Saccharomyces cerevisiae S288C: one gene and its partners. Changing the gene in region 1 together with any one later gene gives a genetic interaction. Each region holds a gene or a part of one and is shown in the gene's direction. Other genes may lie near its edges. The genes, in order: MGT1, PFY1, MPC3 and YJL107C.

What was found.
Region 2: mutations in MGT1 (region 1) and PFY1 together harm fitness more than expected from each alone (negative genetic interaction), as found in Saccharomyces cerevisiae (one large-scale study listed by BioGRID).
Region 3: mutations in MGT1 (region 1) and MPC3 together harm fitness more than expected from each alone (negative genetic interaction), as found in Saccharomyces cerevisiae (one large-scale study listed by BioGRID).
Region 4: mutations in MGT1 (region 1) and YJL107C together harm fitness more than expected from each alone (negative genetic interaction), as found in Saccharomyces cerevisiae (one large-scale study listed by BioGRID).

The regions. Positions count from the first base shown.
Region 1 is NC_001136.10:96,109-104,133, reverse strand, and holds MGT1 (methylated-DNA--protein-cysteine methyltransferase), read left to right. Parts: upstream 1-3,066; coding exon 3,067-3,633; downstream 3,634-8,025. Other genes in the region: GGC1 (Ggc1p), read left to right, coding at 1-485; YDL199C (uncharacterized protein), read left to right, coding at 781-2,844; TRM8 (tRNA (guanine46-N7)-methyltransferase), read right to left, coding at 3,713-4,573; mitochondrial 54S ribosomal protein uL10m MRPL11, read right to left, coding at 4,910-5,659; ACK1 (Ack1p), read left to right, coding at 6,181-8,025. UniProt on the Saccharomyces cerevisiae protein: Involved in the cellular defense against the biological effects of O6-methylguanine (O6-MeG) and O4-methylthymine (O4-MeT) in DNA. Repairs the methylated nucleobase in DNA by stoichiometrically transferring the methyl group to a cysteine residue in the enzyme.
Region 2 is NC_001147.6:548,634-556,868, reverse strand, and holds PFY1 (profilin), read left to right. Parts: upstream 1-3,981; coding exon 3,982-3,994; intron 3,995-4,203; coding exon 4,204-4,571; downstream 4,572-8,235. Other genes in the region: ubiquitin-specific protease UBP2, read left to right, coding at 1-2,045; Paf1-complex subunit LEO1, read left to right, coding at 2,299-3,693; glycerol 2-dehydrogenase (NADP(+)) GCY1, read right to left, coding at 4,817-5,755; protein kinase RIO1, read left to right, coding at 6,623-8,077. UniProt on the Saccharomyces cerevisiae protein: Binds to actin and affects the structure of the cytoskeleton. At high concentrations, profilin prevents the polymerization of actin, whereas it enhances it at low concentrations. By binding to PIP2, it inhibits the formation of IP3 and DG.
Region 3 is NC_001139.9:973,850-981,885, forward strand, and holds MPC3 (mitochondrial pyruvate carrier), read left to right. Parts: upstream 1-3,486; coding exon 3,487-3,927; downstream 3,928-8,036. Other genes in the region: YGR240C-A (uncharacterized protein), read right to left, coding at 728-928; YAP1802 (Yap1802p), read right to left, coding at 1,026-2,732; LSC2 (succinate--CoA ligase (GDP-forming) subunit beta), read right to left, coding at 4,187-5,470; SDA1 (Sda1p), read right to left, coding at 5,916-8,036. UniProt on the Saccharomyces cerevisiae protein: Mediates the uptake of pyruvate into mitochondria.
Region 4 is NC_001142.9:214,765-223,732, reverse strand, and holds YJL107C (uncharacterized protein), read left to right. Parts: upstream 1-3,716; coding exon 3,717-4,880; downstream 4,881-8,968. Other genes in the region: protein kinase IME2, read right to left, coding at 406-2,343; pheromone-regulated protein PRM10, read left to right, coding at 4,877-6,028; snoRNA-binding rRNA-processing protein UTP10, read left to right, coding at 6,424-8,968.

The DNA.
Region 1 (8,025 bases):
ACGTGTTGAAGATTAAGAGACAGACCAATCCCGAATCGTTTAAAGGTAGAGGTTTCATCAAGATTTTGAGAGACGAAGGCCTGTTCAACTTATATAGGGGTTGGGGGTGGACGGCTGCCAGAAATGCTCCCGGTTCATTCGCCCTTTTTGGTGGTAATGCATTCGCCAAGGAGTATATCTTGGGTTTGAAAGATTATTCTCAAGCTACTTGGTCCCAAAACTTCATCTCCTCCATCGTCGGTGCTTGCTCCTCTCTGATCGTTTCTGCTCCATTAGATGTCATCAAGACAAGAATTCAAAATAGGAATTTTGATAATCCTGAAAGCGGGTTGAGAATCGTCAAAAACACTCTGAAAAATGAAGGTGTAACTGCGTTTTTCAAGGGCTTAACACCTAAATTACTAACAACGGGTCCAAAACTGGTTTTCTCATTTGCGTTAGCTCAATCTTTGATACCTAGATTCGATAACCTGTTGAGCAAATGAAGTACATGAACTTCTTGTCTATTTTCCTTGGCATTCAGCTTGTGAATATAAAATGTATAACAATATGAGTTTGTACTTTATGTATTATTTCCTGTTTTTTGACTAACTACTTTTTCCAATGTAATAGCTGTATCACCGTACCGAGGTAAGGACGTCAGCCGCGTAGTTCTAAAAAAATAAAGGATTGCTTTGAAGGGCTTCTGGGCCACTTCAGGACAAAAAGAATGAACATAAAGAAGAGCGCTAAATTTAATACTACAGAGGAACCTGTTACTATCTCAGCTTTTTCAAGAAAATGAAACCTCCGTTAAACATGTCACGTTCAAATAAACCACTTACTCAGGAAGCTAATAGTTCGGCGCATATTGATAGGGCACATCAGCTAGCACAGGATTTTAACAGTAAACAGGATGATACCGCACTAACTTCACTGCCCCACAAGAACCCCGACATATTCAGATTTGAGAACAACATCACAGCTCATAGCTCGCGTCGTGGTTCTCTATATAGAGACAGCGATGCTACTGTGGTTTTGCCGCTTTCTGAACATACCCCTAGATTATCAATGGATGATCCATACCGCCAATTACTACAACAGGCTGAAATCTCACAACTACGAAGTAAGAAAAAAAGGCATTCCAGTCGAGTTTTGCGTACTTCGTTTATATCTTTTGTGGTGCTAGTTTCCTCGCTGTCAGGGTTGGACCAAGGCCTCATATCTGGTAACGTTATGACTTTGTCGTTCCAGAAGTATTTTCATTACCCACTTACTTCTCCGCTGGGCAATATAGTGAGCATTGTTAATCTGGGTGCGTTCATGGCGTCGTTATTTGTCTATTCTGGCATCCTGGAGCCTTGTAGCAGGAAAAAAATGCTCCAAATAAGCACAATGATATACTCTTTGGGTGCCATTGTTCAGGTCTTGGCTCTAAACCAATGGTGTTTACTACTGGGTAGATTCTTACTCGGAGTAGGTATGGGCTTTGCCTTTTCTATGGTAATAATTTATCAATTCGAGTTTCCCCTTCCCTGTATAAGAAAACGGACATTAATTTCCATTCAATGCGTCTCTAGTGTCATTGCGTATTCATTCGGAATATGGATTAATTGTGCTTTCAGATATTTGGGCTTTGCATGGAGATACCCTTTGTCAACACATGTGGCACTTGGAATAATACTAAACCTAATGTCGTTCTATCTTATTTTAGAGTCCCCTTCGTGGCTGTTGAAGCAAAAGAACGACGTAGAGGCATTGGTTTTAATATCGAATGTTTTCGATGATGGAAATTTCGAAGAAAACCAAACTCAGTTGAAATTTAGGGTCCTGAAACGAGACATATTATTAAAGTCACACCTTCAAAAAAACTCCTATCCATATGCGTATATCTTAAAGGATTTTTCTTCAATAATAAAATTGTTGATAGGTTTCCAACTTCTCACACGAACAAATGGAGTGGATGCTTTCTTGTATTACTCACCGTTAATATTACAACAAATGGGGAGAGGAGAAAGAAAATCTATCTATTTAACGGGGCTTAATGCTTTAATTTACAGCATCGTAATATTAGCATATGTTCCCTTGGTGTTACGGAAACGTAAAGAGAAAACGAATGTACTCTTAGGTTCGATTGTGATGTGTGCATTGCTATTTACCATATCTTTTACAGACTGGTTTCCCAAGAGCACAACGAGGTATATATCAATACTATTTGCTGTTTTTCTTTTTACGCACTTCATCAGTTGGGATTCTATAGGATGGGTTATGACCATTGAGCTTCTACCTCACTTGTCACAGGCCCCAGTGATACTACTAGTCTCAAACTTTTATTGGATTTTTAAGTGGTTCGTCAGCTTAATAACCCCTATACTTATTGACCGTCTGTCTTGGAAGTTTTATCTTATTCCATCTTTATCTTCCTTTATTTCCATTATATTTGTGCTGAAGATTTTTCCTATAGAAACCCGTGACGAAAGGTTAGATTCTGATGATGATTCTACCGGAAACGGTAGCGGTAACCATGATGATGTTTTTGACGATACCGGTTCTGAATTCTCCTCCTCACCATCTTTTTCCGCGTATCAGATAAACACTCTAGGAAGTAGTATCAAACAAAATAATCAAGCCTATTCATCTATTCAAAATGAGCAGATTCTACCCAAAAACGGAAACTTATCGAACCAGACACACGGTTCTGCACAAAATGTTTATTTCATTACATCTGATTCAGGACCATCAAGGACTGGAGAATTTTTCAGTTTTCATAACAGAACCGATCCAAATATCAGCGACAACATTGCTGCGAATAAACCCAGTTCAGGTGGAGGCCAGAATTCGCCTGGAGACATGGCAGTTGCCTAGTATGGCCTCATAAAAATATTTGCTTCATCCTAAGTATAAATGTTTAGTTTTATCCTACATACATATTCTTATTATAGTCATTAGAAAAAAGGCACGGCGCTATTGGCCTGGCAGGGCATTTAAAATGCGGTGGAAACAAGGAAGATTAATCAAGTAATGATATAGCATATGCACAAAAAAAAAATTGAAAACGGTCGCATTTTTGATCTAAATGGACCAACGATGAAGGAACTGCTTTACTATACATTCATTGAAACTGAAGTGACTGGTGCATTTTTGGTGTTTAGGGAAAAGACTCAAAACCTTGTTTTTGCCTCGTTAGGTAATGATAAGCTTTTTTTATTGGGAAAGGTGGAAGGCTTCTTGAAGAAACATGAGAAACAGGATACAATGTACGATTTACAGGAACTAAAAGAGGCAGAAACATATAAGAAATCAATCGAAAATTATACAATATGTTTAGAAAACAAAATGCCATTACCATCGGGCGCTATTCCCTTTGAGTTCCTGTTTGGAACAGATTTTCAACGTAAAGTTTGGAATGAGCTTTTAAACGTGGAACACGGCCACGTCGTAACATATGGTGATATTGCAAAGAGAATAGGGAAGCCAACTGCCGCAAGATCTGTCGGAAGAGCTTGCGGCTCAAATAACCTGGCATTGTTAGTACCTTGCCATAGAATCGTTGGTAGCAATAGAAAATTAACCGGATATAAATGGAGCTGTAAACTGAAAGAACAGTTATTAAATAATGAAAAGGAAAATAGCTTAAGCCTTAGTAGATTGTAGTTGGATAAAGGATTTTAGGAAAATAAACATAAGAAATAGTTATGTATATGTGGTAAATTGTTCTAGTTATACATCTATGTTACAATATGGCTGGCGTTGGTAATCTTGTGAAACAAGCGACGAACTTGTCACCCTTCTTTCTTTCCACTTTTTTACCTTCTTCTGTGGCATTTCTCATTATTTTCACACATTCATCGTTTTCTTCCCATTCTTTGCTCAACCGTTCAAATAAAGGATGCTCTTCTAAATGTTTTACCATCCACTCATGCAGGTCTTTGACGTCTGTAATTGTGTACACGACACCGCCCTCTTTCAAAACATATGCGTACTCACTCAGCAAGGTGTTAGTGATAATTCTTGCCTTATGCTTTCTTTGTTTGAAATGAGGATCGGGGAAACAAAAAAACATTTTAGAAAGCTGGCCCTTTTCAAAAAAGTTGGGCAAGAATTTCATAGCGTTACCTCTCAAGACATTAATGTTTTGAAATCCATGTTTTGAAGCTGTATTGTTCCTTAAGGCAATAATTCTATCCTCCACGTAATTTGTAACCTGCACACGAATTTCCATCCCTAAGATAAGATCTTCAGGGAAGGCTGGTGATAAATCTATCATCAACCCACCGAATCCACAGCCAATATCAGCAATCGTCACCTTCTTTGTCATTTGTCCATTTTCCGCGTTTTTGTAGTAAGGGTACAATTTGGACCAATCCATATCCTGGGGAGATACTGGGTACTCTAACTGGTGATCTGAAAATGGGTTGGAATGCGCCCTTTGACGATAATATCTCTTCTTTGGCAAGTCGATCTTTTGGCCTTCTTGCACCAAAGAACTTTCATTGATCTTTACATGCTTCAACTCCTTACGATTTTCTTCCTTATTTATACGGTATGCGTAACGCTTGGAGCCTGGATCTTGGCTTAGTGGCTTGGCTTTCATCTTAACAATAAACGCTTGAAAATTTTATCCTATGGGAACTGCTGAATCTATACTAATCCAGCTTTTGTGGCGCTTTAATAAAGTGAAATGTCAGAAATATCCTGAAATTTTTTGCTGAAGTCATCACCAAAATTTTTCATTTTTTTTTTTTTTCAACGGTCGCTGAGATATGTAAAAAGGTAAGAAAGGTAAAAGAAAGGTAATTTTGACGTCAATACATAGACTAAAGTATATTTACCGTTATTGCTTCATTGTCTTTTTATTTTTTGATGATGTATGTACATGATTGAATAGTAAAACCTTTATAAAACTTGTCGAATTACGGGCATTTTCTTTTTACTTTGATCCCTTCGATTCTGCATCTGTAGTTGACTCCACATCCTCTTTAGGTTTTTGGTTGTCATTGTGAGATTTTAGTGTTAAATACAATGCATTTGAACTGTTTTCCAACGTACGAACCAAACCCAACCCACTTAGCATTTGCAAAACGCTGACTAACTGCGACTGCATTTCCGGCTTTGTGGGGAGAGTCTTAAAAGTGTTTATTTTTTCCACATTCAAAACTTCGTTTTCTACTTTTGCACCAATCACCATCAGCTTGTCTTGTGCTGACTGCAGAACCTTCAATAGCTTGGCTACTTGTTGAGGGTTGGTGTCTTCGTATGTAATTGTGGCCGTAGGACCCTTCAGTAGTGGCAAGAGTGGATGTTTCCAGTTTTGCTCTTTACGCTTCACGAATCCACATGGGTCGGGCAGATGCGAATTTCTCAAGTAGACTTCGAACAGGTTGTTTCTTACTTTTGTGAGTTTCCCTCCTGTCTGTTTAATCTTGAATCTGAAATGGTGATCTTCTGTTTTGGAAAGATTATTGTAATGGACAAAAAAAATCATAGAACTGTTCTCCATTAAATGCTTGTATGTATCGATGAGAAACGTCTTCCTCGAGTCCAGCGGCTTTACTGTCTTTCTTGAGGGTTGTTCAGAAGCCAGAGCATAAAATCTCTTATGTACTGTACCAATTGTCTCCTTCAAACCAAAAAAACCATTTCTGGGGACCCATCCAGGCATAAACCTTAGCTGCAACATTATTTATAATCACACTCCGCGCCCAAGCACTTCCAATAAGGTCTAAAGCTTTTGTTTTCCTTACTCTTCAATTGTACTAACCTTCTTTCTTTTCTCAGTTTACTGCTATAACTCTACGTTTTTTTCTGTATGAATCTCTACTAAGCCCTAGGGTTATTAGTGTATAAACGTTAGGTTACACTATGAAAAAGACTTGTTTAATAGGTCATATAGTAAAAAGCTTAGGTTAAGTGCCTTCAAGAACGAAACCTAATTTTAAAATTGACGACTAATTATCAAGTGTATTGAAGATGGCTTGAGATGAACCTTAGCACTGGATGCTATGGCTTGTAGAATAAGCAGATATCCCGGTAATTTAATTTGAGTTGCTCAAATTATATACAAGAACGTGGTAGAGACTGGATTTGGAAGCGTCTCTTTTTATGAAGTAGATTTTAACTCCGTTTTCTTTTCATTTCCTTCTATTCTTTTGTACAGAGTGTACCACCACGTTTTAATACTTTGTTTTAATACAGTAGGCAATGGTTAATCAGGGCCAACCGCAACCTAACCTCTATGACAAACACATTAACATGTTTCCACCAGCAAGGGCGCGGGAGTCCTCGCATAAATTGGGAAATGCCAATTCGGATAGGCATGGTTTGCCAGCTCAAAATATAGTGCCTGCACCCTATCCAGTGGATGACTCTATCGTTGAACTCACACCAGCTATTCCTTTTACATCCCCTTCATCTTCCTCATCATTATCGCTGCCTTTGAGTGCGCTGAATTTCACAGACGGGAATGCTGATGGTGGTCAATTAGGCACTCCAGTAACCATAAATAGTAATAACGGCATGGACATTTTTAATTCCAAGCCAACAGGTGAAATAGGATATGCCAATAATGGCACCAACAGTACTGGTAGTAGGTATGAACTTCCTTTCAATTTTAGTTCTACAAAAGAGAGTTTGGGTTCACCAGCTGTACAAGATGCATCAATAAGCAGTGGAAATCGAATATCAGAGTCTGTAAGGGACAACTCAGCGCCACCACCCTATGAGGAATCTGAATCTAGGATACTGCAGGAAAAAGTTTACAGAACCGAGGAAAAAGCTCCAATACGACCTTTGAATAATAATCCTGTTCCACCACAAAAAATCAACCAACCACCCACTGGGAGCGCGAAGACAGACGATAATGGGTCCTCAGGTGGTGAGGACAAACTGTCTTCCTATTCACCAGAGGCATTGGCTTTCTATCAAGTGTACAAGAAGACAATTACTGACTCTTCAAAATTCACCCCCGAGATACAAATGCAATGGTGTGAAACATTACTTACATATGCCTTTAATGAGGATTTCATATCGCAATATAACATAAACGCGGAGAAGCTCAAAAGAAGCTTAAAGCCTGAGGAAATGCTCAAAAACCAGAAAGTCATTTTGGAACATTCATTCAAGGTGCTCACAAAATTGATAACTTTAAAATGGCCACCTGCCATGTATTTAATGGGGACGCTGTATTCACACCAACCCTATTTACCTATAAAGAACAAAAACATCGTTATTAAAAATGATGAAAAGGCGCTGGAATATTATTGTAAAGCTGCGAAATTGAACAATTCAGATGCATGCTACCGTGCAGGTGTATGCTTTGAATACCAAAGGGGCACCTCTTCTTTGGATCCATCACCAACCAAAGAACAATGCATAAAAAAGGCCTTCCAATACTACCAGCATGGCGCAGAAGTTTGTTCAAATTCTGCGTGTATGTATAAATTAGGGATGAGCCATTTATACGGTCTGAACATGCAAAAGACTGATGTATTGCTAGCTATTAAATGGTTTGATAAAGCTGCCCAAAAGGGTGACTCTCCACAAACATTATATGAGTTAGGTAAAATATATGAATTCAGTGTTTTGCCGCCAGAAATCCAGAACCTATTATTTGCGAACGGCATACGAAAAGACTCTCAACTGGCAATAAAATACTACCAACAATGTGCCAAAGATTTTGAGTACCCTTTAGCGCAATGGAAATTAGGAAATTGTTATGAGTTTGGAGACCTAGGGTTGCCAGTGGTGGCCAAAAAATCCATATATTGGTATTCCAAAGCTGCTGCTGCTCAGCCGAAGGGGAATCCGATGGCAATGTTATCCTTAAGTGGATGGTACTTAACGGGAGCACCAAATATTTTGAAACCAAACAATAAAGAGGCATTCAACTGGGCCTTGAAGAGCAGCAAGTGTTCAGACGGTAAATTAGCCCGCACTGAATTTGCCTTAGGATTTTATTACGAAAAAGGTGTCGGTTGTGAAGTTGATTTGGATCTGGCCAAACAATATTATCAGAGGGCTGCAAGAATGGGATTCAGGAAGGCAGTT
Region 2 (8,235 bases), on another chromosome or scaffold:
TTTCAATTGACGAGTCTGTTGATGAAGACATTATAAAAACTGCATATTCGGTCAAGATTAACGACTCTCCCGGATTAAAGTTGGATTGTGATAGAGCACTTTACACCATTGCTATCAGTAAAAGAAGCCTTGATTTGTTCAATTTTTTAACAGAGGAATGCCCACAGTTTTCCAACTATTATGGTCCAGAGAAGCTTGATTACCAAGAGGCATTGAAGCTTCTTCAAGTGAATGAAAATGCCTCTGACGAAACCATTTTGAAAATCTTTAAACAAAAGTGGTTTGATGAAAACGTTTATGAGCCTGACCAATTTCTTATTTTGAGGGCAGCATTGACCAAAATCAGTATAGAAAGAAATTCAACTTTAATCACCAACTTCTTACTAACTGGTACGATAGATCCAAATTCCTTGCCGCCAGAAAATTGGCCAACTGGCATTAATAATATCGGGAACACCTGTTACCTAAATTCTTTATTACAATATTACTTTTCCATTGCGCCACTAAGAAGATATGTATTGGAATATCAAAAAACGGTAGAAAATTTCAATGACCACCTCTCTAATAGTGGGCATATTAGAAGAATTGGTGGAAGAGAAATTAGTAGAGGCGAAGTGGAAAGATCTATTCAATTCATATACCAACTTCGCAACCTTTTCTATGCGATGGTTCATACAAGAGAAAGATGTGTAACACCCTCAAAAGAGCTAGCATATTTGGCATTTGCTCCAAGTAATGTTGAAGTAGAATTTGAAGTGGAAGGCAATAAAGTAGTTGATCAAACAGGAGTTCTTTCGGATTCAAAGAAGGAAACAACGGATGACGCATTTACTACAAAAATAAAGGATACAAGCCTGATTGATTTAGAAATGGAAGATGGCCTTAATGGCGATGTTGGTACAGATGCGAACAGAAAAAAAAATGAATCGAATGATGCTGAAGTAAGTGAGAACGAAGATACAACAGGATTAACTTCACCTACGCGTGTGGCAAAAATCAGTTCTGATCAATTAGAAAATGCTTTGGAAATGGGTAGGCAACAAGATGTTACTGAATGCATAGGAAACGTGTTATTTCAGATAGAAAGCGGTTCAGAGCCTATCCGATATGATGAAGACAACGAGCAATATGACTTGGTTAAGCAACTATTTTATGGTACTACTAAACAAAGTATTGTTCCTTTGTCCGCAACAAATAAAGTCCGTACGAAAGTTGAAAGATTCCTATCGTTACTGATAAATATTGGCGATCATCCTAAAGATATTTATGATGCGTTTGATTCTTATTTTAAAGACGAATATCTGACAATGGAAGAGTATGGTGATGTTATACGTACCGTTGCTGTTACAACTTTTCCTACTATTTTGCAGGTACAAATCCAAAGAGTTTATTACGATCGTGAAAGATTAATGCCGTTTAAATCCATTGAGCCCTTACCATTCAAAGAAGTTATTTACATGGACAGATACGCGGATACAGAGAACCCTTTATTGTTGGCAAAAAAGAAAGAAACAGAAGAAATGAAGCAAAAGTTGAAGGTAATGAAAAATAGACAAAGAGAGCTTTTGAGTCGTGATGATTCAGGGCTTACAAGGAAGGATGCATTTTTGGAGAGTATCAAGCTATTGGAATCGGATACCATAAAGAAAACTCCTTTAAAAATTGAGGCTGCTAATGATGTGATAAAGACGCTGAGAAACAACGTTCAAAATATCGATAATGAATTGATGAAATTATACAATGATATCAACAGTTTGGAAGAGAAAATAAGCCATCAATTTGACGATTTCAAGGAATATGGTTACTCACTGTTTTCGGTTTTTATTCATCGCGGCGAGGCCAGTTATGGTCACTATTGGATATATATCAAGGACAGAAATCGCAATGGAATTTGGAGGAAGTACAATGATGAAACCATCAGTGAGGTCCAGGAAGAGGAGGTCTTCAATTTCAATGAGGGTAACACTGCAACTCCATATTTCCTAGTATATGTCAAACAAGGACAAGAAGGTGATATTGAGCCATTGAAAAGAATTCTAAAGTAGTCTTAGTCAATGAAGAGTTTATGTAAAATGTCACTATTGCCATAAGTACCATTATTATGTAAAAAGCTTTGCCATATTCAATCGTTACGGGTGACTATCTGCTACGTAAAGAAAAACGAAAAAACAAAAAAAAAAAGAACAAGCTCATAGAAGTGAATACGAAAGCTGAAGAAAGTCGTTAAGTAGATAGGTTGCGTAAACTAGGTGCGTCCAATCAAAGTAATCCAATTAGATATACTGGACTATAATTAAGATGTCATCTGAAAGCCCACAGGATCAACCACAGAAGGAGCAAATCAGCAATAACGTCGGCGTTACCACCAATAGTACAAGCAATGAGGAAACAAGCCGCTCTCAAGATGATAATGTCAAGGAAGTCAATGGAAATGATGATACTAAAGAAGAGGAACAAGAAGAAGACGCAGAACTAGATGATTTATTTGGAGATGACAATGATGACGATGATGATGATGATGTTAAAAAATCGGAGACTGAAAAAAGTGATAGTGATAGTGATGAAGACGACGAGGGAGAGAATATCAACCATAGAAGTCGTCATAGAGAAAGTCTCGGGTTAGATGATGATGAAGCAGAGGAGCAAGCCATGTACACCCGAAAATTTTATGGTGAGGATGCTAATAACTTTTCTGATCAAGATGAGACTACTCACACTTTTAAAGAGGAAAATGTAGAGCTTGTCAGACATATTATTCCAAGTAAAGCTAATGTGAATGAAACGGCGTCTCACAACGAAATTTTCTATGCTAGAATTCCCAACTTTTTAACTATCGATCCAATTCCTTTCGACCCTCCAAGTTTTGAGGCCAAAGTAAACGAAAGGGCAAGCAATTCAGCTTCTAGGGAGGATCAACTGGACGACCGCCTGATTGATGAAAACACTGTTAGATGGAGATACTCTCGTGACAAAGACCAACATGTCTTTAAAGAATCAAATACACAAATAGTGCAGTGGTCAGACGGTACATATTCGCTAAAAGTTGGTGAAGAGTGTACAGATATATTGGTCAACGATACGAGCAACACTTTTTTGACAGTATCGCATGACCAACAAGAGTTGATCCAGTGTTACGAAGGGGGTGAAATAAAAAAGACGTTGATGTTTATTCCAACTTCGACGAATTCAAAAATACATCAAAAACTAAGTAAAGCTGTTATAAGAAGGAACCAAAGACAAAGCAAGGGTCCTGGAACATACATTGTAAGTATGGATCCTGAAGTGGAAAAGAAGGAGTTAGAGAGAAAGCAAAGCCAGATTTTAAGAGACAGAAGGAGAAGACAGCTCAAAGAAAAGGAGAAACAAGAATCCCCAGATGCCGCTTTTGAGACGGGATTTAGAAAGCAAAATTCACCCACTACCTATGGAGCCTCGAGAAGAAATGAATATGAAGAAGATGACTTTTTAGTCGACGACGATGAGGAAGAGGAGGCTGCGTTTGACGACGAAGAGGATGATAATGAGGAAGAAGAAGAAGAAGAGGACGCGGATGAAGAGAACGCCTCTCGTCTAAGAAATTTAAAAAGAGAAGGAGCAGCAATGTACAGAGAAGAGGAAGAAGAAGAAAAAGATAGGAGCGAGACAAAAAGAAGAAGGGTTGCGGTCATCGAGGACGACGAAGACGAGGATTAGAGGAGACGTTACTTTGTTTATATATATTAGTATGTACAATCGCAAAGAAATGGAGTGATGACATGTTGTAGTATTTAGTATGAGGTTACTGTGTGGGAGGTTTTACCATGATTTTTGGCGAGAACACGCCATGAAATGTCTTTGTACGAAACTCATTACCCGCATTAATATTTTTTTTCTTTTTAAAGCTCAGTTGACCCTTTCTCATTCCCTTCTTAAAACAACTGTGTGATCCTTGAGAAAAGATAAATTACATACACAACATAAACCCAACTACGATCGCAAATTATGTCTTGGCAAGGTATGTGAACGAGACAATTATCAATTGATTAAGAAAGAAATGAGTCGGAGGTTAGCTTGTGTGACAATGTTTGGCAATGCCCGATTTTTGTTGATGCGCGTAATTTCGAAGATTAACCACTCAGAGTAAATTACTAACTGGAATATCAAAAAACATATGAAATTTCAAACATGAATTTCTTTCCGTTTTTTTCTCCTACTTTTAAACAGCATACACTGATAACTTAATAGGAACCGGTAAAGTCGACAAAGCTGTCATCTACTCGAGAGCAGGTGACGCTGTTTGGGCTACTTCTGGTGGCCTATCTTTGCAACCAAACGAAATTGGTGAAATTGTTCAAGGCTTCGACAATCCAGCTGGTTTGCAAAGCAATGGTTTGCATATTCAAGGCCAAAAGTTCATGTTGTTGAGAGCTGACGATAGAAGTATCTACGGTAGACATGATGCTGAGGGTGTTGTTTGTGTAAGAACTAAGCAAACCGTTATTATTGCTCATTATCCACCAACCGTACAAGCCGGTGAGGCCACCAAGATTGTCGAGCAATTGGCTGACTACTTGATTGGTGTTCAATACTAATTTATGCAGGTAAAGTTTTCTTGCCTTATACACCACCTATTCTGGCATCTGCGGGATTTCGCTTCCTATTTTACAAATATTTTATTGATTGACGCTAATTATCACTGTAAAAGGCGCACTTTTTATATGTAGTCACATCCGGTATTTAACATATTTACGAAACAGTCTTAAGAATATCGACATTTGATATACTTATGTTTAATTTATCTACATATTACAATCATACGAGAAACACGCAAAAACAATTACTTGAATACTTCGAAAGGAGACCAATTTGGATGTACAACCCTTTTTTCGCCCTTTTCCTTCGATATGTTATTGATAGCTTCAAAGTCCTCAGTAGACAAAGTAAATATTTTCCTGTTCGTTTTGATTCGATCGGGATTCACAGATTTTGGCAAGACAACATAACCTCTTTGGACGTGCCAGCTAATAACAACGTGTCCGGGTTGAACGTTATTTTTCTTCGCAATTTCAAGGATAACCGGTTCCTTCAATAGTGGAGCATCGGTACTACCTAACGGAGAATAAGCTTCAACCACAATGCCTTTACTTTTACAAAAATTAATCAATTCGTCTTGAGGTAGTAATGGATGTATTTCGACTTGGTTAGCAGCTGGCGTAAGCTTATTACCTTGAGATGCTAATAGATCTTTCAGGTTATTTATAGAAAAGTTGGAGACTCCAACGGCCTTAGTTTTACCAGTCTTTGGTAGTTCCTGCATTAATTCCCAGGTTTTGATGAAATTCCAATTGGTGATATCCACTGCACGAGAACCATCCTTCTTTGTTGGCACACTCAAGATGTCTTCATTTTTGATGTAGGCTGGATCTAATCTGGCAGGCCAATGCATCAAATATAAGTCTACGTAGTCCAATCCTAACCTCTTTAGTGATTGATCCAGCGCTACTTCAGGTTCGTGGTGTTGTGTACACCATAACTTTGTAGTAACAAAGATTTCTTCCCGAGGAACACCTGAATCCTTGATGGCTTGACCGACTTGGTCTTCATTACGGTAAATAGCAGCAGTATCAATGTGTCGGTAGCCATCTTTCAAAGCGGTTAAAACAGCCTTATAAGCATCGTTCTCTTTCGACTGCCACGTACCTAAACCTATTTGAGGGATTTGGGCTCCAGTATTTAGAGAAAGGATTTTCGTAGAATCATGTAAAGTAGCAGGCATTTTTCTATCTTAATTTAGTAATGAGAGCTGTCCAAATTTTAGCTTGCTAAGATGCACCTATTAAGCTCTCATCCTGAATCAAGTCATTAGAATGTCTTGATTCTCCCGGTTTTATACGCCCAGTAAAGCAATTCTTTACTGCCGTAGTCTTTTCCTGAAAGCTCGGTTTCTACTCTAGGGAATTAAGGAGAGCAGCGGTGTGCGATTCGTCACACGGGTGAATGCCTGATAGGCATATTATTAAGCCGTGTTTGCAATCTGCGTGCTAGATTGATTCTACCCCTTTCTGAGAAGGCGAAATGACCTTGCTATGACAATGAGGGAGAAAAGACCGCCCTTCCTTGTTCTTCCCCGGAATAGTCTGCCCCGATTGTTCGCCGGTGTTATAACTTACAATTCTTATACACTCCATAGGAAGTTTGTTGACAAGAGTTAAGTTTCAAATATCTAAAGCCAGGAAGTATGATCACCCAAGCATATCCATTGCAATATGTAAGACATTCAAGCGGATTTCTGGGACTTTAGAAAGTGAAATTTAAAAAAAAAAAAATTTAACAGAGGTCATACTTCCAAAAAAAAAAAAATGTAGAACTGGGCGAAATATCATCAGCTCATTCACTCTAATGCGGCCCTTCTGTAACCTCGAGCAAAGAGCCCAAATAACTTCATCTCTTCTCTCTTACGAACTGAAATATTCTCATGTTACCTATTGAGTAGTTGCGGGGACATTGGCGCGCGCAGAAAGAGTGAAAAATTTTATAGTGGAATATAGAAATTGAGATGAGATGAGATACTAAGACTAAAAATAATAGTAAAAAGAAGTTAAAACAGATTTAGAGATTCAAACTCCGTTATTTTTAGAAGGTCATGTCCTTGGAAGATAAATTTGATTCATTGTCTGTGTCGCAAGGTGCCTCGGACCATATTAATAATCAGCTCTTAGAGAAGTATAGTCACAAAATAAAAACTGATGAATTATCATTCAGCAGAGCGAAAACATCAAAGGATAAAGCAAATAGGGCGACTGTGGAAAATGTCTTAGATCCGAGAACTATGAGATTTTTGAAGTCTATGGTCACCAGAGGTGTGATTGCAGATTTGAACGGTTGCTTAAGTACTGGGAAAGAAGCTAATGTTTACCACGCTTTTGCAGGTACCGGTAAGGCACCCGTAATAGATGAGGAAACAGGCCAGTATGAAGTTTTAGAGACAGACGGATCCCGTGCAGAATATGCCATTAAGATTTATAAGACCTCTATCCTAGTCTTCAAAGATCGTGAAAGATATGTTGATGGTGAATTTAGATTTAGAAATTCCAGATCTCAACATAATCCAAGGAAAATGATTAAAATTTGGGCTGAAAAGGAATTTAGGAACCTGAAAAGAATTTATCAAAGTGGCGTCATTCCAGCTCCTAAGCCAATAGAAGTTAAGAACAACGTCTTAGTTATGGAATTTTTAAGCCGAGGTAATGGATTTGCCTCACCTAAATTAAAAGATTATCCGTACAAGAATCGTGATGAAATTTTCCATTATTATCACACAATGGTGGCATATATGAGATTGCTGTACCAAGTTTGTCGCCTGGTTCATGCCGATTTGTCAGAGTATAACACCATAGTTCATGATGATAAACTATATATGATCGATGTTTCCCAAAGTGTGGAACCTGAACATCCAATGAGTTTAGATTTTTTAAGGATGGATATCAAAAACGTTAACCTTTATTTCGAGAAGATGGGTATAAGTATTTTCCCTGAAAGGGTTATTTTTCAATTTGTCATATCAGAAACTTTGGAGAAATTTAAAGGTGATTATAACAATATTAGCGCCTTGGTTGCATACATTGCTAGTAATCTACCAATAAAATCTACAGAACAAGATGAGGCAGAAGATGAAATATTCAGATCGCTGCATTTAGTTAGATCATTGGGTGGATTAGAGGAAAGAGATTTTGATAGGTATACTGATGGTAAGTTTGACTTACTGAAAAGCTTGATTGCCCATGATAATGAACGCAATTTTGCTGCTTCTGAGCAATTTGAATTTGATAACGCTGACCACGAATGTAGTTCTGGCACAGAGGAATTCTCAGATGATGAAGAAGACGGCTCAAGCGGATCTGAAGAAGATGACGAGGAGGAGGGCGAGTACTATGACGATGATGAACCAAAAGTTTTAAAGGGGAAGAAACATGAGGACAAGGATTTAAAAAAATTGCGCAAGCAGGAAGCTAAAGATGCAAAAAGAGAAAAAAGGAAAACAAAAGTCAAGAAGCACATCAAGAAAAAATTGGTGAAAAAAACGAAATCAAAGAAATAATGCGGCCCTGTGAAAATACATTTGGGAATCGTTGTTTGGAGTCGAAGAACAGAAAGTAGGTCAGCAATTTAACGAAGAAAGTTCAAGACTAAAAGTGTAATATCAGTATCAAAAGTTTGGTACTTTTCATACAAGTGCAATAAATATTAAAATAAACA
Region 3 (8,036 bases), on another chromosome or scaffold:
CTATATTGTTATTCTTACTTCAAATTTGTTTATCGTTTATTTACTAGGCGAGACTTGAGTAGACGACAATCCAAATAGAATTAACAGATTTTATTGGTAGAAAGCAATAATATTCTTTAGATGGTTGAGAATAAAGAAGTAAAAAAACCAGTAAAGAGAAAAAGAAAAGGAAGAAAATTAAAGAAAAAGGATGATTACACAAGAAGATAATAAAAAAACTCCTTTATTAAGAGCGGAAGAATTTAATAATGAAGATGGGAATAAGCAAAACAAAAACAAAGAAGGGAAAAAAAATAAAAAATCGTATTTATTTATTTAAAAAATCATGTTGATGACGACAATGGAAAAAAAAAACCGATTTCACTTTCTCATCCTTATATTTTTCAAAGGTTGATGCAAGTCGATCTCAAATCGGATAACGCTGCCAACTGGGAAATTCCGCAATTCCGCAAGAAAAAAAAAAATGTGAAAACGTGATTGCATTTTTTACAGGTCCTAAAGGATTTAGCCCACATATCAAGAGGGTGGCAGTAATTGCACTGATTAAGCATTCGTCAGCATTAGGCGAATGTGTGCATGAATATTGCCAGTGTGCTCGATATTAGAGAGTACATTGAAGAATATTGTACCGGATTATGTACAATAACTTTGTTAATGAGATATTAATTTTCTTTTTTACTAGCCGCTATCCCATGCACGATGCTAAATTTCAAGAAGAAACTGAGATTTAAAAAATTAGTGGAAGCTGATAAAACGGACTATAATGGTGTATGGATTGAGGAATCTCGACATGTTTTTCCATCGTTTTCAACGATGACTGTAACCCGTAGATTGAACCAGGCATGCCAAAGTTAGTTAGATCAGGGTAAAAATTATAGATGAGGTTATATGTATGGTACGTAAAATTTACATGTTTGGATAGTATCATAAAATATAGAAAGGTGGAAGGGATTACCTAAAAATCAGAGTTTATAATATGCAAGGACGGCCTGTTGAGAACAAAAAACTGTAGTATCTATCGCTCACTATATATCTATTAAGTTAGGATTTTCTTGCTGATGCTGCTGTTGTTGCTGTTGTTGATTGATGGGGACAAACGCAGTGGGAACCATAACATACCCTGTTTGCTGACCCTGCATCATTTGTGGTTGCTGCTGCGCACCAGTAGAGGCATACTGAAGTTGACCGGCCACGGGATTCGTCATGTATGTGCCCATTGGTGATGTCACCACGTTTTGAGCCTGAAATGGATTACCTGTTTGACTATGAGCAAGAATCGGGGTGGTTTGTGCTTGTTGGAGGGTAAAAGGATTTGGGGAGTTTTGGAAATTTTGTTGTTGCTGTTCTCTGGCAATATTTTCTAGCGAAAATGGGTTGTTAGACCCCGTTTTTGTTGGATCTAAAGTGCCGGTCATAATTGCATTGTTCTCGGTGGTCGTGTATCCGCCGAACCCTGAGCCGGTGAAATTTGGGGTGTATTGAAGGTTAGAAGCATACATCCCAGTTTGTTGATTATTCAAATTTGGAGTAATCTGTATCTCACTTGGTTGTGGCATTGTAGACGCAGATGTCAACTGTAAAGCCTGTTGCTGTTGTTGCGGTATCAAGAAGGGGTTAGCAGTTGGTTGAGGGACTTGAGCGGTCATTTGTGGCTGGGTTGGTTCGAATGAAAAGGTGTCATTATTTAAATCTTGCTGTTGTGATCCAAATGGGTTGTAAGCATCTTGTGGGACCGTGGGGGAAATGAGCAACTGTTGGTTTTGTAATTGTTGCTCCAGCAGTCTTTTTTGTTCCCTTATCTGTTCCAGTTTCTTCTGCGCTATAGACTTATTCTTGTCATTGCTGTTGTTATTGTGACTACTGGTAGAGCTAATGGCCGTAGATGGTTTTCTATCTTGCTGCGGTTCAGAAGGTTCACCTCTTTGTCTTTTTGTTTCCTCTCTCAAATGCTCCTCAAGGGAGTTAATTAACTTTGTAGTAATATGTTTGATAACGGGGATTTTCAAACCGACAGCTTTTCCTATTTTTAGGTATCTAACAACATATTCTGTCATATCCACGAAATCCTTATAGAGATCCAGTGTTCTTTTTGCGTGCTCAATGGACAATTCGAAGAATGATTCTAAAAGTGTAATGACACCTTCATTAAGAGCATTGTACAGACCTAGTAAATCTTGTACTAACAATTGGAATGCATACAATAACAAATGGTTTTCTAAATCTGAAACAGAGTATTTATTCCTTATCAAGGCATTAATTTGAATTTCCAATGATTCAACATGATCTAGCTCTTCATCCATTGAAAGCTGGTTCTTACTGCCCAGCTTTAGCGAGGAGTAATTGTCTCGTAGGTGATCCATACCTAGCCTGCCATACTCTTCACAACGTGTTTTTAGGTATTCGTCGTATCTCTGCAAAGCCCTCATATCATTGGAAGACCACTTAGTAGTATGCGAAATCTTTCTCAATTGGAAAACATCCAAATTATGGGAATAGTGCCTTAGCGTGACATCTTTTTCGCCTTGTTGTATCATCAGATGCAACACAATCAATGCCTTATAAACAATGGTCCAGGCTGTATCAGACAACCTTATATCCAATGCGTGGGTAATCTCTTGCAATCCTCTTGCGCTCGAAGTGCCCGAGAGAATAGGGTCCACATATTTTTGCTTTGGAGGGGCCATCTTTATTTTGGTCGCCCCTTTAACCAACTTAGTATATAATGAAGACATTGTTTCACAAACACGCCTCTATATCTATTATAGGGGTAGCCGAGACAGTCGCGCTTGTATGCTTGATATTGTTACTCTCGTAGATGTTAGCAAGCGTAGCAAATTGGTACTCCTGCTACAGATTTATTTTTTCTCCTTCTAAAATTATAACTCAAGCAAGAAGCCCTAATAACAAGTTAACCAGACTAATAAGTCGACTTTTTCCTCGAATGTAGAAAAGAAACTTTTCTACGCAGCTGCAAACTTAATCTATCCCTCCACCAAAGCAAAATGAAAACAAAGCCATACTGGGAAAAATCTGAAAAAAAAAATGGTAGGAGTAAAAGAAAAGAAAAAATAAAGGTTACCCTGCAGTTTGGATAGTCGGGTAACATTTGGCCCTTTTCCTCCTTGATTGGATATTATTACCCCGATTACCCCTCATCTTGGGAGTGCCCCGCTTTTATTTCTCCCGCCAATCGGCTATTAACGGCTTTACGTCATTCCGTGGGCGGGTCAAGCGAGCCGCTCCCTGGTTTGGTCACGCAAAACCGAAAGGCTCAAACAAAACTAAGGCCATCATATATATATATGCGGCTGCGTGCGTGTATTCTCCCGGATAATATGGTGCGTTGCAATTGGAGTATTGGAGAAAATTTTCTTTTCCCTTTCATTACGGCGGAAATACTTCATATAAAAAAAAAGAATACAATCAGTCTTTAAGACTATACGCATAAGCATTCAAGACACATAGAAACACAAACCTATATTTTTAATGTCAGCATCAGCTTTTAATTTTGCCTTTAGAAGATTTTGGAATAGTGAAACAGGCCCTAAAACAGTACACTTCTGGGCCCCAACTTTGAAGTGGGGGCTGGTCTTCGCAGGGCTAAATGATATTAAGAGGCCTGTTGAGAAGGTATCAGGAGCACAAAATTTATCTTTATTAGCGACGGCACTGATTTGGACGCGTTGGTCGTTTGTCATCAAGCCCAAGAACTATCTGTTAGCTTCCGTCAATTTTTTCCTGGGTTGCACTGCAGGCTACCATCTAACAAGAATTGCTAACTTTAGGATACGGAACGGTGATTCTTTTAAACAGGTTATTCACTACATAATAAAAGGGGAGACTCCTGCAGCCGTCGCAGCAAAGCAAACTGCATCCACATCGATGAACAAAGGTGTGATCGGTACTAATCCGCCAATAACGCACTGATTACGTAAACGATAATATGTTCCTGAACTCGCATTTTTTTAATGATTTTTTATGACCTCTTATATATTCTTTCATTATATAACCTCTATATTACATCAAAAGATGGAAAAATATAAAAAAATTAAAAAAAAAAAAAAGAAATTTTTTCCAAAAGAGTATATTTATATGTATGTATACATGTAGGGAAAATAAGAAACTTTATTAATAGTAAAAAAGCATATATACTTTATTATTAACTCTTTTGTTTTTCTCGAGAAGCTTAATTTTGGGTCAATTCAACGACCTTTTTAGCAGCAGGATCTAATTCATCAAACGAATAAATCTTCACGCCTGACTTATTGATAATGTCGCGGCCTTCTTCTACTTTGGTACCTTGCAAACGTGCCACAATGGGGACCCTAACTTCTAGTTCTCTGGCGGCTTCTACCAGCCCCAGGGCAACATAGTCACATCTTACGATACCGCCGAAAATATTGACGAAAATTGCATCTACGTTCTTATTGGATAAGATCAATTCGAAACCTTGTTTGATGGTCTCAGGGGTGGCACCACCACCACAATCCAAAAAGTTCGCAGGATCGCCTCCATTTAATTTGATGACATCCATAGTAGCCATAGCCAAACCAGCACCATTGACTAAACATCCAATGTTACCCTTCAACTTAACAAAATTCAAATCATACTTCTTTGCCTTAACTTCATCAGGATCTTCTTGTGATAAGTCCCTCCAGGAATATATCTTTTCCTGTCTGAATGATGCGTTATCATCAAACCCAAATTTGGCGTCTGTACACATGATTTTGTGGGTTGGATCATGTTCAATTTCACTCAAAGGGTTAATCTCCACTTGTGTAGCATCCCTTTCCATGAATATTTTATACAAATTGGAAACAGCTTTTGCTGCCTCGTCTTGTGCATCGGGACTGAAACCGAGACTCTTGGCAACATCCTTGGCCATTTGTGGGCTCAATCCCTTTGAAGTTTCAATTGAAAATTTCTTTATAGCATCTGGGGTTCTCTCAGCCACCTCTTCAATATTCATACCACCTTGACTGGACGCAATGATCATCGGTTTCTTGGTTTGTCTGTCCATTAGAATAGATAAATAAGCTTCATGCTTTGTATCTACTCTTTTCACTATATATACAGCAGATACTGGCTTCCCCGCTATTCCCGTCTGTTTAGTAATCAGGTTATGATTGAGCATTTCTTTTGCAACATCCTCTGCCTGCTGAGGACTTTCGATCATGTGAACACCGCTTTTGTAACCGGTGTCGAAGTGACCTTTACCTCTACCTCCGGTCAATGCCTGCGCCTTGATGACCAGTTTGTTAGTGTTTAATTTCTTGGCTGCTTCGAAAGCCTCTTCGGGAGTGAACGCTGGAAATCCTTCTGGAGTACCAATACCGTATTCCCTCAATAACTGAGCTGACCTGTATTCATGAATTGACAAGTGTCTCCTTGCTTGTAAAGCAGCTTGCGCGTTTAGCCTGCTTAATTGCCCACACTTTGAAATTAGGGATAAGGATTTTCTTGAGTACATTTTGTTCAGTTGCAATGCTTCAGTATTTTTTTCGATTGTATTGACTCAATCCTTATTAATCCTAACTACCTAAAAGTCAGTTACAAAAAAACTGGACTATCGCTCTATAGTCACTGTTATTTTTCGAGAGAAAACGTCAAAGTGCTGATAAGGAAAACGTCGATCTTATATAAAACCTCAAAGATGTTGACTACGCGGCAATTGAAAGGCCAACCAACTTTTAGAATACTCACTCCGCCGCTGCGGGGAAAAGCCGAGAATTCCCGATGAACACATAATCGATACCAGTTGGAGCATTTTTCTCTGTACCAAGACATAAAAAGAGTTTTTTTTAGTATCTACCTGGCTTTGGTGTTCCATTCAAGGTAGAGAAGTCCTCATACAGTTGGAGAGATGAATGTATCTGTGTATATGTATGTATATATTAATATGGCTACGATGTCGTCTAATACCCCTTCTTCTTTTGTTTGGTGATGTGTGCACGTAACACTTTTTGCTTGTCTCGTAGTGACATTTTTTGTTTACCTCTAACAGATCTCTTGTGAATAGACATAACAAAGTTCTTCCTTCTTTCTTTTTCTCTGTTGGTAGTAGAACGCATGTTGTCACGCTTACCGCGTCTACTACCAAATTTGTCTCTACCTTCACGACCTTCCAACACCTTTTGTAATCTTTCCTCACGAGACTGTTTGTATTTGATAGGGCCTGTTAGTGTACTTGCATCAACTAACTCTTCACGCTTGTCTTGTTTGTGGATACCCATTATTTTAGCAACGCTTTCCTCATTACGCAATTCTTGTAGTTTAGCGAAATCTGCCGGAGTTAAAATACGTGTAGAAGCAATTTCACGGAAGGCAGCTTCGGGATCTATATCTGCATCTTCTTGCTCATCCTTCACTTCTTTTTCATCGTCATCATCGCTTAGTTCCAAATCGGAATCTGATTCCTTGCCCTTAGCATTGTCTTTTTCATCGTCACTATCTTCCATATCAACGTCATATTCTTTATCACTATCCATGGTGACCCACTCACCGTCGACATCGTCTTCTTCGCTATCGACATCTACTTCCCAGTTGGCATCAGCGTCTTCATTTTCACTCTCTTCACCATGTTCTTTCTTCCATTTGGCTAACAGTTCGATACCAGCAATCCCTTGAACACTGTTGTCGGCACCAAATTGCGGTCTTTTTGAATCTTTACCTCCTTTCTTGGCTTCTTGTACTTCCATGGCGGCATTCTTACCACGATCCTTCTTCTTTAGCATTTCTGGTGCCACGTCTCTATACAACGCTATCAATGACTTGGCAGCCATATTGACACCTTTAGCTTTAGACCCCTTATATTCTACCAGATCCTGTAGTAGAATCTCATCGATAGCCAAAGGTGCACGAGAGCATATTTCTCTAATGGTATTAATGCCTGCAGCAGCGACTTCATTGGCAACACCGTCTGATACAAACTCGTCTGCAATCTTTCTCACCATGACATTTATAACTTCAGGAGGGACAAGATCATGACATGCTTGGGCACATGCGGACATAATTCTTGTAACATCTCTTTGTTTCGGAGTTAAGTACTTTAAAAAAAAAGTATAAATTCCTAAAACAATTAACTTATGGGTACCAATCAACCTTGATAACAGCTGCATCAAAGATATTTTTTGTTCCATGTCAAATTTGTTTTTCGTTTTGCCTGAAAGATGTTCCTTAAACAATTTTTCGGCAAATCCTTGTGGATCTCTCAAAAGGTGGATAGCACTGAAGTTTAAATACCCTTGAGGAGCACCCGGTCCGTTCTTCTTCTTCTTCTTCACAGTTTTTATGGCATTCTCCAGCTTCTTACCACGTCTACCCGTTTTTTTATTGACTTGCATCTTATGCCTTAATGCATCTAAATCAAACCCATCCTCATCCTCGGAATTTTCTTCAAAATTTTCTTCACGTTCTCTGTCAGCATCCAAAAAAAACATCACACCAGACATGACAATCTTAACATCCTGATGTAATGCTGCTTGGGTCATAATTTCTACTGTTCTTGAATCATCCCAAATACCACGTCTCCAAAGTTCTCTGGTTAATTTTGTGGCCCAGATTCCCTGGGAATCTGGTTGATCTAACAAATTAAAGCAAACGGCCTGCGTAGATTTGTTCAATTTTTGATTTTTACCATTAGTATTACAACTTTTTAATAAAGAAATTAAATTTGTATAAATGATTTTCCTCAATTCCTTGGCGTGTGAATTAACGCCGAGTGAATTACCATGGGAAGAGTAAGCAACCAATAAAGGAAATAAGCTTTGAATTAATTCCTCAGCAGTAATGACGTCCTTATTCCTTAACATCGTCAAACAACTTAAGATTTTTTCTTTCAATTCAAATGGCAAGGACTTATGGTGTTCCAGCAAAAGCTGCTTTAATTCAGACGGGAAGTTTGCAGTTTCACGAGGAAAACATGAGCAGACTTGAGATACGAAGCCAACCAATTCAATAAGTTGCGAAGTTGAAGTGCTCATGGTGGTACCGTTAGTACCTGCCATTGTAGAAGATCCATTTCCTACATCGAGCCC
Region 4 (8,968 bases), on another chromosome or scaffold:
AGCATTAATGCCGTTTTAATTTTCTGCAGAGTATTGCCTGTGGACAACAGTAACTTATACGAATAAACATACCAAGTTAGGATCTGAGCCGGGTAACCGAACACAAAGATCTCGTTCTACTTTTTTTGACCTCTTGATGAGTTGCTTAACAAAATCAGTAGCCGCCAAGAGCAAGAAATCATAAAATGTTCAAGAAAAACAAACATAAAAATATATTGGAGGGGAATAAACGCAAAGTAATGTCTAATAAGTTAAATTAAAGCCATCGAAAAAGCACTGTATTAATAGAGCAGTAGCTATTTAGGTGAATGCATAGTAATATAATATATATGCGAACATATGTATGTCTATGTGTATATAACTATATAACTGTGCCTAACGATTCGTCAGTCAAATGACAAATTATTAGAAGGTTACATTTCCAAAATGTTGGTTTGAATTGGATAGATGAGGCTCGAACTTTTCCCGTGATTTTTTTAATGTAGGTATCAAGAAATTTCTTGGAGTAAAATCTGGCATTGAATTAAACGAATCGCCTAAAGAGGCATCACCCAAAACATTATCACCTCTATGATGTGACCTATCTGTATGTGTGTAATTTGAGTTGTTCACATATGGTAGAACGATGTCTTCATCAATATCTGCATGTTCATTAAATGGTTGTTTTCTCTGAAACTCATCCTTTTCAGGAATTTCCAGGTCAAAAAATAGCTGTTCCATGTTGTCTGCTTCATCTTTATTTATAATTTCAATATCATTTGTCAACTGCCTAATATTCGATAATGAATGATCTAAGACTTCTTCATCTGGTAGTTGACAAAGGGCCAAATTATTACGAATTTCTTTTGATAATTCAGTCTCATCAATAGAATCTGAAATGGTAGAATCTGTTCCAACATCAGGTATTGAGTGATCATCATTATCTTCTTCAACGAATTCGTTTAAAAATTCTACCAAAGTTAGTTTTTCTTGATTTAATGTTGGTGAGCACATAGCATGAGAATCGTGATCGTTGTTGCTGATATCAATATCATTAGACTCTGTTTCTGCGGGCAATTTTGTTGAAGAGTTAAAATATATGGGCTTTGTGTTGGTCGCTACTGGATTTATACCTGCAAAAATCAATGCTTGTTCTGTATTAGTCACATTGCCTCTTGCGTCTACTTGGGATGCCACGGTGTTTTCAAAAAATGGCATTTCACAAAGCTCTTGGGCTGTTGCCCTTTCATTAGGATCCCATCTTAAACACTTTTTGACAACCTCAGATAAATCGGATAGTTGGGAGCTAGAAAGTAGATGATCCAACGATGAACCTTCTACATAAGGCAATTTCAAGTTTAATTTATGGACCAAATTACTGGCATCATCCCAAAATCCACCAGGTGGTGGAGCTGTGATGTGGTTTGTATTAACAAAATCAGAACGTTTGATAGGTGTACCAAGAACTTCTAAAATTTTCCATATCTGATCGATTTCGTTAGCACCGGGGAAGAGAGCTCTGAATACAGTAACTTCCACCGCCACGCACCCGAATGCCCAAATATCCAAAGGTTTGGAATAGTAACCACTTCTTAATAATATTTCAGGCGATCTATACCATCTTGTGGAAACGTAGGCCGTATACGGGTTTTTATTTTCAACATGGCGTGCCAAACCAAAATCTGCAAGTTTAATGACATAGTTATCTTGATATCCAATCTGGTTCATGTACTCCTTTTCAAAATACTGGGTACTTGGTGTGATAAGAATATTTTCAGGTTTTAAATCTCTGTGGAAGAAATTATGTTCGTGGATGTGTTTTAACCCAGCCAGTATCTGCGATAGAATAGATTTCAAAGAAGGAATCGAAAAAACTCGGCGCCTTCTATGTTTCATCATTTGATATAGGTTTTGCTCCATACATTCCATTACGATATGTAATTGGTAATTTTCAGAGTCAATAAAGACCTCAAAAATTTGTATCAGATGGTCATTCGCTGGGATTGCCAGTATGAACTTAATTTCTCTGACCCTCGTATAATCCTGGAGTGTATGCAGTTTTGTCATCATTGTCTTTATAGCCACTACACCTTGTGTCTTTGTTATATAGTTTTGGTGACCATTTTTAGGCTGATCCATTAAAGTACCCCTTATATCATGTTGTTTACCCAATATGTTCGATAAAGGAAATTGCGCTTTGGCTAAAGTTACACAACCAAATGATCCTGCACCTAGTTTTTCGATCAGCTGATATCTGTCTGATAAAGTCTTCAAAGGGATAGAAAGTGGCGGGTTATCGACATCAGGTGGAACACTGAACTCTGAGCCACTACTGGAACTCTGTCTACTACGTTTTTCAACCATAAATGACCTATTAAGTTAAGCTTAGTACTCTTCTTTTATTACGTCTGTATCACGTTCCTTTTCAATGAATATTTAAGAACACGATTAACTTTTCTGATAAGCCTGGTAAATAAATACAGGTTTATATTCTCTAGACAGCCACCTTAACCGACTGGAGTGTCCTTTATATCTTTACCCAAAAAATAAAACTTTTAGGAGAAGGGGTAACAAACTGAAAAGGGAAAGGGTAAAGTAAAGGTAACTGTAAACTATTTTGAAAGATAGATCTTGTAACTTCTTTCTCGTTGAGTGATATTGGAAAATAAAAATGAAATGAATGTGTGAAGACAGAAGAAGTTATTCAGGAAAAGAAAATGGACAGACCGGTGAGTTGCTACCTTAATATATCTATTTGATTACACACATTACTTCTTTACCTCTTTGCAACCAGCACTTGTCTGTGGCTTTTTGCCGCCGAAGTCTCGCGCCTTTTCCCTGTTGAATTGCATTTAAGACACAAGGCTGACATTTATTAATGATAGAGATTTCCACAAAAACTCAAATAGCCGCCGTAACATAAATTATTGGACAACCGGAGAAAAGGATATTTTAAGGCACCAGCGGGTAATACATCTTTATTTCTCCAAGTTTAAAAAGCGTATTTGGAAAAGCTGTGCCACTCAGATTTTTGTGAGAGTTTTCTTTTTCTACTTACCATGAGTGCGGAGTCTTGGTGAAACAGCTACTGAGAGAATAGGTATCTGGGTTACCAGTGTAGTTAGCTACAACATGTTCGAAATGCATGGTAGAGTCTGGGTTTCGTTCCCTTTGGCTTGTTAAGGCCGAAGATTGCTTTGGTCTGGATGGGCGGAGCCCAAATTTTATTGTTGAACTATTTTTAGATTAAGAAAAACAGCGCCAAATTTTACCCGGCTTATGGCTCCTCCCTTGGTACTCCCATTTTTATGACGTAGCAGTTGTCCCGCTTGTTTCAACTCCTCGAGAAAAGTGGGGCATTGGGTTTATCTGTCACAGTACCACCAGCACGCCGAATGGACCCTCTTTGTCTTAGCCCGACGTCTCCGTAATCAGCGCGCCATTCGTGTTTCTAGTGTCCTTTGACTATTTTCATCCGAAAAATATCGAAGCAAAGCCATCGCCAAAAATTGCGAACCCAATATGACGAAATTCGGAAGAATCTTGAAAAAGAAATAAACCGAATTGCATATTAATATATAACTATGTTTTACGTTTGTTTTAAGCCTACTATATCTGAGAACGTAGCTAAATAAATCTTATATAACACTTACTTACTTACTTAGCGGTGTGCGACTTTTATCTTTTAGATATAGAATAACAAAAGAAAAAAGATCGAATAACCGATAGGCTATACAATGGACGGTAGAAATGAAAAACCAACCACTCCTGTGTCAGATTTTCGGGTGGGAAGCTCCGAGCAAAGTCAAGCGGGAGTGAATCTTGAAGATAGTAGTGACCATCGCACTTCCAATTCAGCCGAGAGCAAAAAAGGCAATTTAAGTGGTAAAAGCATCAGTGATCTAGGTATTTCTAATAATGATAACAAAAATGTAAGATTCACTGCTGATACGGATGCTCTAGAAAATGATTTGTCTTCAAGATCTACAGAAACCAGCGATAATTCTAAGGGCACAGATGGACAAGATGAAGAAGATAGGCCTGCTCGCCACAAGAGGAAGCCTAAAGTTTCTTTCACACATTTAAGGAACAATGGTAAGGATGGAGACGATGAGACGTTCATCAAGAAGATAATAAATAACCTGACTGGAAATCAAGGGGGTTTGGTCCCTGGCTTGGCACCAATACCTTCAGAAAATGAAAATGGGAAGAATGATATAGAAAAAAATAACCGTAATGAAGAAATTCCCTTATCCGATCTAGCTGATGCGTCTAAAATCGTAGACGTTCATGAGGGCGACGATAAAGAAAAACTGGAGGCTCTCAAATTAGAAGGTGACGTAAATTGTACGTCGGATGGCGAAACGTTAGGCTCAAGTTCAAAAAATTCATTTCTGGCTCCTGCAGTGGATCATTTTGATGATTATGCAGAAAACAATTCATCCGACGATAACGAAGGGTTTATTGAAACCTCCACATACGTACCCCCTCCATCTCAAGTGAAAAGTGGAGTACTAGGGTCATTATTGAAACTTTACCAAAATGAAGATCAAAATTCAAGCTCAATCTTTTCAGATTCACAAGCTGTAACAACAGATGATGAAGGTATTTCTTCTACTGCTGGAAACAAAGACGTACCAGTTGCCAAGCGTAGCAGATTACAAAATTTAAAAGGCAAGGCTAAAAAAGGCAGAATGCCTAGACTGAAGAAAAGACTAAAAACTGAAGCGAAAATTACGGTTCACATTGCAGACATTTTACAAAGACACCGGTTCATCCTACGCATGTGTAGAGCTCTTATGATGTATGGTGCTCCGACGCATAGGCTTGAAGAATATATGGTTATGACTTCTAGAGTCCTTGAAATAGATGGTCAGTTTTGTATCTTCCAGGTTGTATGATTGTTTCATTTGGTGATGCAACAACAAGAACTTCCGAAGTTCAATTGGTTAGGTGTACTCAAGGTCTAAACCTTTGGAAGCTGCATCAAGTTCATGCCGTTTACAAAAGAGTTGTCCATGATACCTTAGGTGCCGATGAAGGTAATGCTTTACTCGATCAAATTTTGGCTGACACGAATCTATATCCACCTTGGATGTGTGTTCTTTTATATGCATTTTGTTCCGCTATGGTCACTCCGTATGCCTTTGGTGGCGATTGGGTAAACCTGGCAATCTCATTTTTTATGGGGCTTTGTGTGGGGTCATTACAATTTATTCTTTCACAAAAGTCATACATGTATTCAAACGTCTTCGAAATTTCTGCATCTATTGTCGTTAGCTTCTGCGGTAGAGCTTTTGGCTCTATCCCTCGTTCTCACATCTGCTTTGGTGCAGTTACACAAGGCTCATTGGCATTAATCCTGCCAGGTTATATTATTCTGTGTGGTGCACTAGAACTGCAAAGTCGAAGCCTAGTTGCTGGCGCGGTCCGTATGTTCTACGCCATTATTTATTCTTTGTTTTTGGGTTTTGGCATAACATTGGGCTCAGCTTTGTTTGGATGGATGTATCACAATGCCACTAACGAAATTTCATGTCCTCAATTAATTTCTCCGTGGTTCAGGTTCCTCTTCGTTCCAGCGTTTACCATTAGTATCTCGTTATTAAATCAAGCACACATCTCACAACTGCCAGTTATGGTCTTCATTTCTTGCACCGGTTATGTCGTAACATATTGGGCCGGTAAGCATTTTGCGAATTCGACAGAGTTTACTGCCGCCTTAGCTGCATTTGTCATAGGTGTTTTAGGTAATCTATATTCCAGAATTTGGAAAGGTTTAGCGGTATCAGCTATGCTTCCCGCAATCTTCGTTCAAGTGCCATCTGGTATTGCTTCACAAAATTCGTTGTTGTCTGGGTTGCAAAGTGCAAATACAATTGTTAATGCTAATGAAACCATTACGACAAGCACCTCCGATCCATCGTCCTCAATGTCATTTGGTATGACAATGATTCAAGTTTGTGTCGGTATTTCTGTGGGACTATTTGCTTCTTCACTCTTTGTCTACCCCTTTGGTAAAAAGAAAACTGGTCTTTTCAGTTTATAAGCTCTCACAAGGTCCACTTCGTTAGAAACTTGTTAACCAATGGACCAAGTGTTGCCATTGGGTCATTCTTCAGTATCAAAGAAGACTTTGACCCACTAAGAAAAATTTCAAAAGTAAATTATAAATATAGCATTAAGTACAAATAACATATCAGCTTATGAATCCTTTTTTTCAATTTTATGGTTTCATAGCCAATAATCATAACATACATAGATTAATAATATTCAAGTCACATGACTTTTTTTTTTTTCTTTTTTCTTTCTGCGTTAAGCAAAGAAAAAAATTTTCAGTTAGCGATGAGCTAGATATTTTCGAAGGTGTAACAAATACTTTCTTTATTACCTTTCAGAATCAGACTTATCTAACTGGCCACCAAAGTACGAATAACTTTGAAAATGTCTTCGTTGAGTGACCAATTAGCTCAAGTTGCTTCCAACAATGCTACTGTTGCGTTGGATAGAAAGAGAAGACAAAAACTTCATTCTGCTTCTTTGATTTATAACTCAAAGACGGCTGCAACACAAGATTACGATTTCATTTTTGAAAACGCTAGTAAGGCTCTTGAAGAATTGAGCCAAATTGAGCCAAAATTTGCCATTTTCTCAAGAACACTCTTTTCAGAGTCTTCCATTTCTCTTGATAGAAATGTCCAAACAAAAGAAGAAATTAAAGATTTGGATAATGCTATCAATGCTTACTTGCTATTGGCTTCTTCTAAATGGTATTTAGCACCTACACTACATGCAACAGAATGGTTGGTTCGTCGTTTTCAAATACATGTTAAAAACACAGAGATGCTGCTTTTGTCCACTCTCAACTACTACCAAACACCTGTCTTTAAGAGAATTCTCAGCATTATTAAGTTGCCCCCTTTGTTTAATTGTTTGTCGAATTTTGTTAGAAGTGAAAAGCCCCCAACGGCGCTAACCATGATAAAGCTCTTTAATGACATGGATTTTCTGAAACTTTATACCAGTTATTTGGATCAATGTATTAAGCATAATGCAACGTATACTAACCAGCTTTTATTTACAACATGCTGCTTTATTAACGTTGTTGCTTTCAATTCAAACAACGATGAAAAACTGAATCAGCTTGTTCCAATCTTACTTGAAATATCTGCTAAACTTTTAGCCTCTAAATCAAAGGATTGTCAAATAGCTGCACATACCATATTAGTTGTATTTGCTACAGCTTTGCCTTTAAAGAAAACAATTATCTTAGCTGCCATGGAAACCATTCTTTCAAACTTAGATGCTAAAGAGGCAAAACATTCAGCACTCCTCACGATTTGTAAGCTGTTCCAAACATTAAAAGGACAAGGTAACGTAGATCAGCTACCTTCCAAAATTTTCAAGTTATTTGATAGCAAGTTCGACACTGTGTCTATACTAACCTTCTTAGATAAGGAAGACAAACCAGTTTGTGATAAATTCATTACTTCCTATACAAGATCCATAGCAAGGTATGATCGGTCCAAATTGAACATTATTCTTAGCCTACTAAAAAAAATAAGACTAGAAAGATACGAAGTTAGGTTGATAATCACTGATTTGATTTACCTTTCCGAAATTTTAGAGGACAAGTCACAATTAGTAGAACTATTCGAATATTTTATCTCCATAAATGAAGATTTGGTGTTAAAATGTTTGAAATCATTGGGACTGACAGGCGAACTCTTCGAAATCAGGCTTACTACATCTTTGTTCACTAATGCCGATGTTAACACCGACATTGTAAAGCAGTTAAGCGACCCCGTGGAAACTACTAAAAAGGATACCGCTTCATTTCAAACATTCTTGGATAAGCATTCAGAATTGATAAACACAACGAATGTGTCCATGCTAACAGAAACTGGAGAAAGATACAAAAAGGTTTTATCTTTATTCACTGAAGCTATTGGTAAAGGCTATAAAGCAAGTTCCTTCTTGACTTCATTTTTCACTACTTTAGAATCAAGAATAACGTTTTTGTTAAGAGTAACTATATCTCCAGCCGCTCCAACCGCGCTAAAGCTAATATCTTTAAACAATATTGCAAAATATATTAATAGTATTGAAAAGGAAGTTAATATTTTTACTTTAGTTCCATGCTTGATTTGCGCTTTGCGAGATGCTTCTATAAAAGTTAGGACTGGCGTGAAGAAGATTCTTTCCTTGATTGCTAAAAGACCATCCACTAAGCACTACTTTTTGTCTGATAAACTTTACGGAGAGAACGTTACCATTCCTATGTTAAATCCCAAAGATAGTGAGGCATGGTTATCAGGATTTTTGAATGAGTACGTTACTGAGAATTATGACATATCCAGAATTTTAACGCCAAAGAGAAATGAAAAAGTCTTTTTGATGTTTTGGGCTAATCAAGCCCTACTAATACCTTCTCCGTATGCCAAGACAGTGTTGTTGGATAACCTGAACAAGAGTCCGACTTATGCATCTTCTTATTCCTCCCTATTTGAGGAATTTATTTCCCACTACTTAGAAAACAGATCTAGTTGGGAAAAGAGTTGTATTGCTAATAAAACAAACTTTGAGCATTTTGAGCGCTCTTTAGTTAATTTGGTATCACCAAAAGAAAAGCAGTCATTCATGATCGATTTTGTTCTCAGTGCTCTTAACTCAGATTATGAGCAGTTAGCTAACATAGCTGCCGAGAGGCTTATCAGCATATTCGCTTCATTAAATAATGCTCAAAAACTAAAAATCGTCCAAAATATCGTGGATTCTTCGAGTAACGTAGAATCATCGTACGATACAGTCGGTGTACTACAATCATTGCCGTTAGATTCCGATATTTTTGTATCCATACTAAATCAAAACAGTATCAGTAACGAAATGGATCAGACAGACTTTTCTAAAAGAAGAAGAAGACGTTCATCAACAAGTAAAAACGCATTTTTGAAAGAGGAGGTTTCGCAACTGGCGGAATTGCACCTGA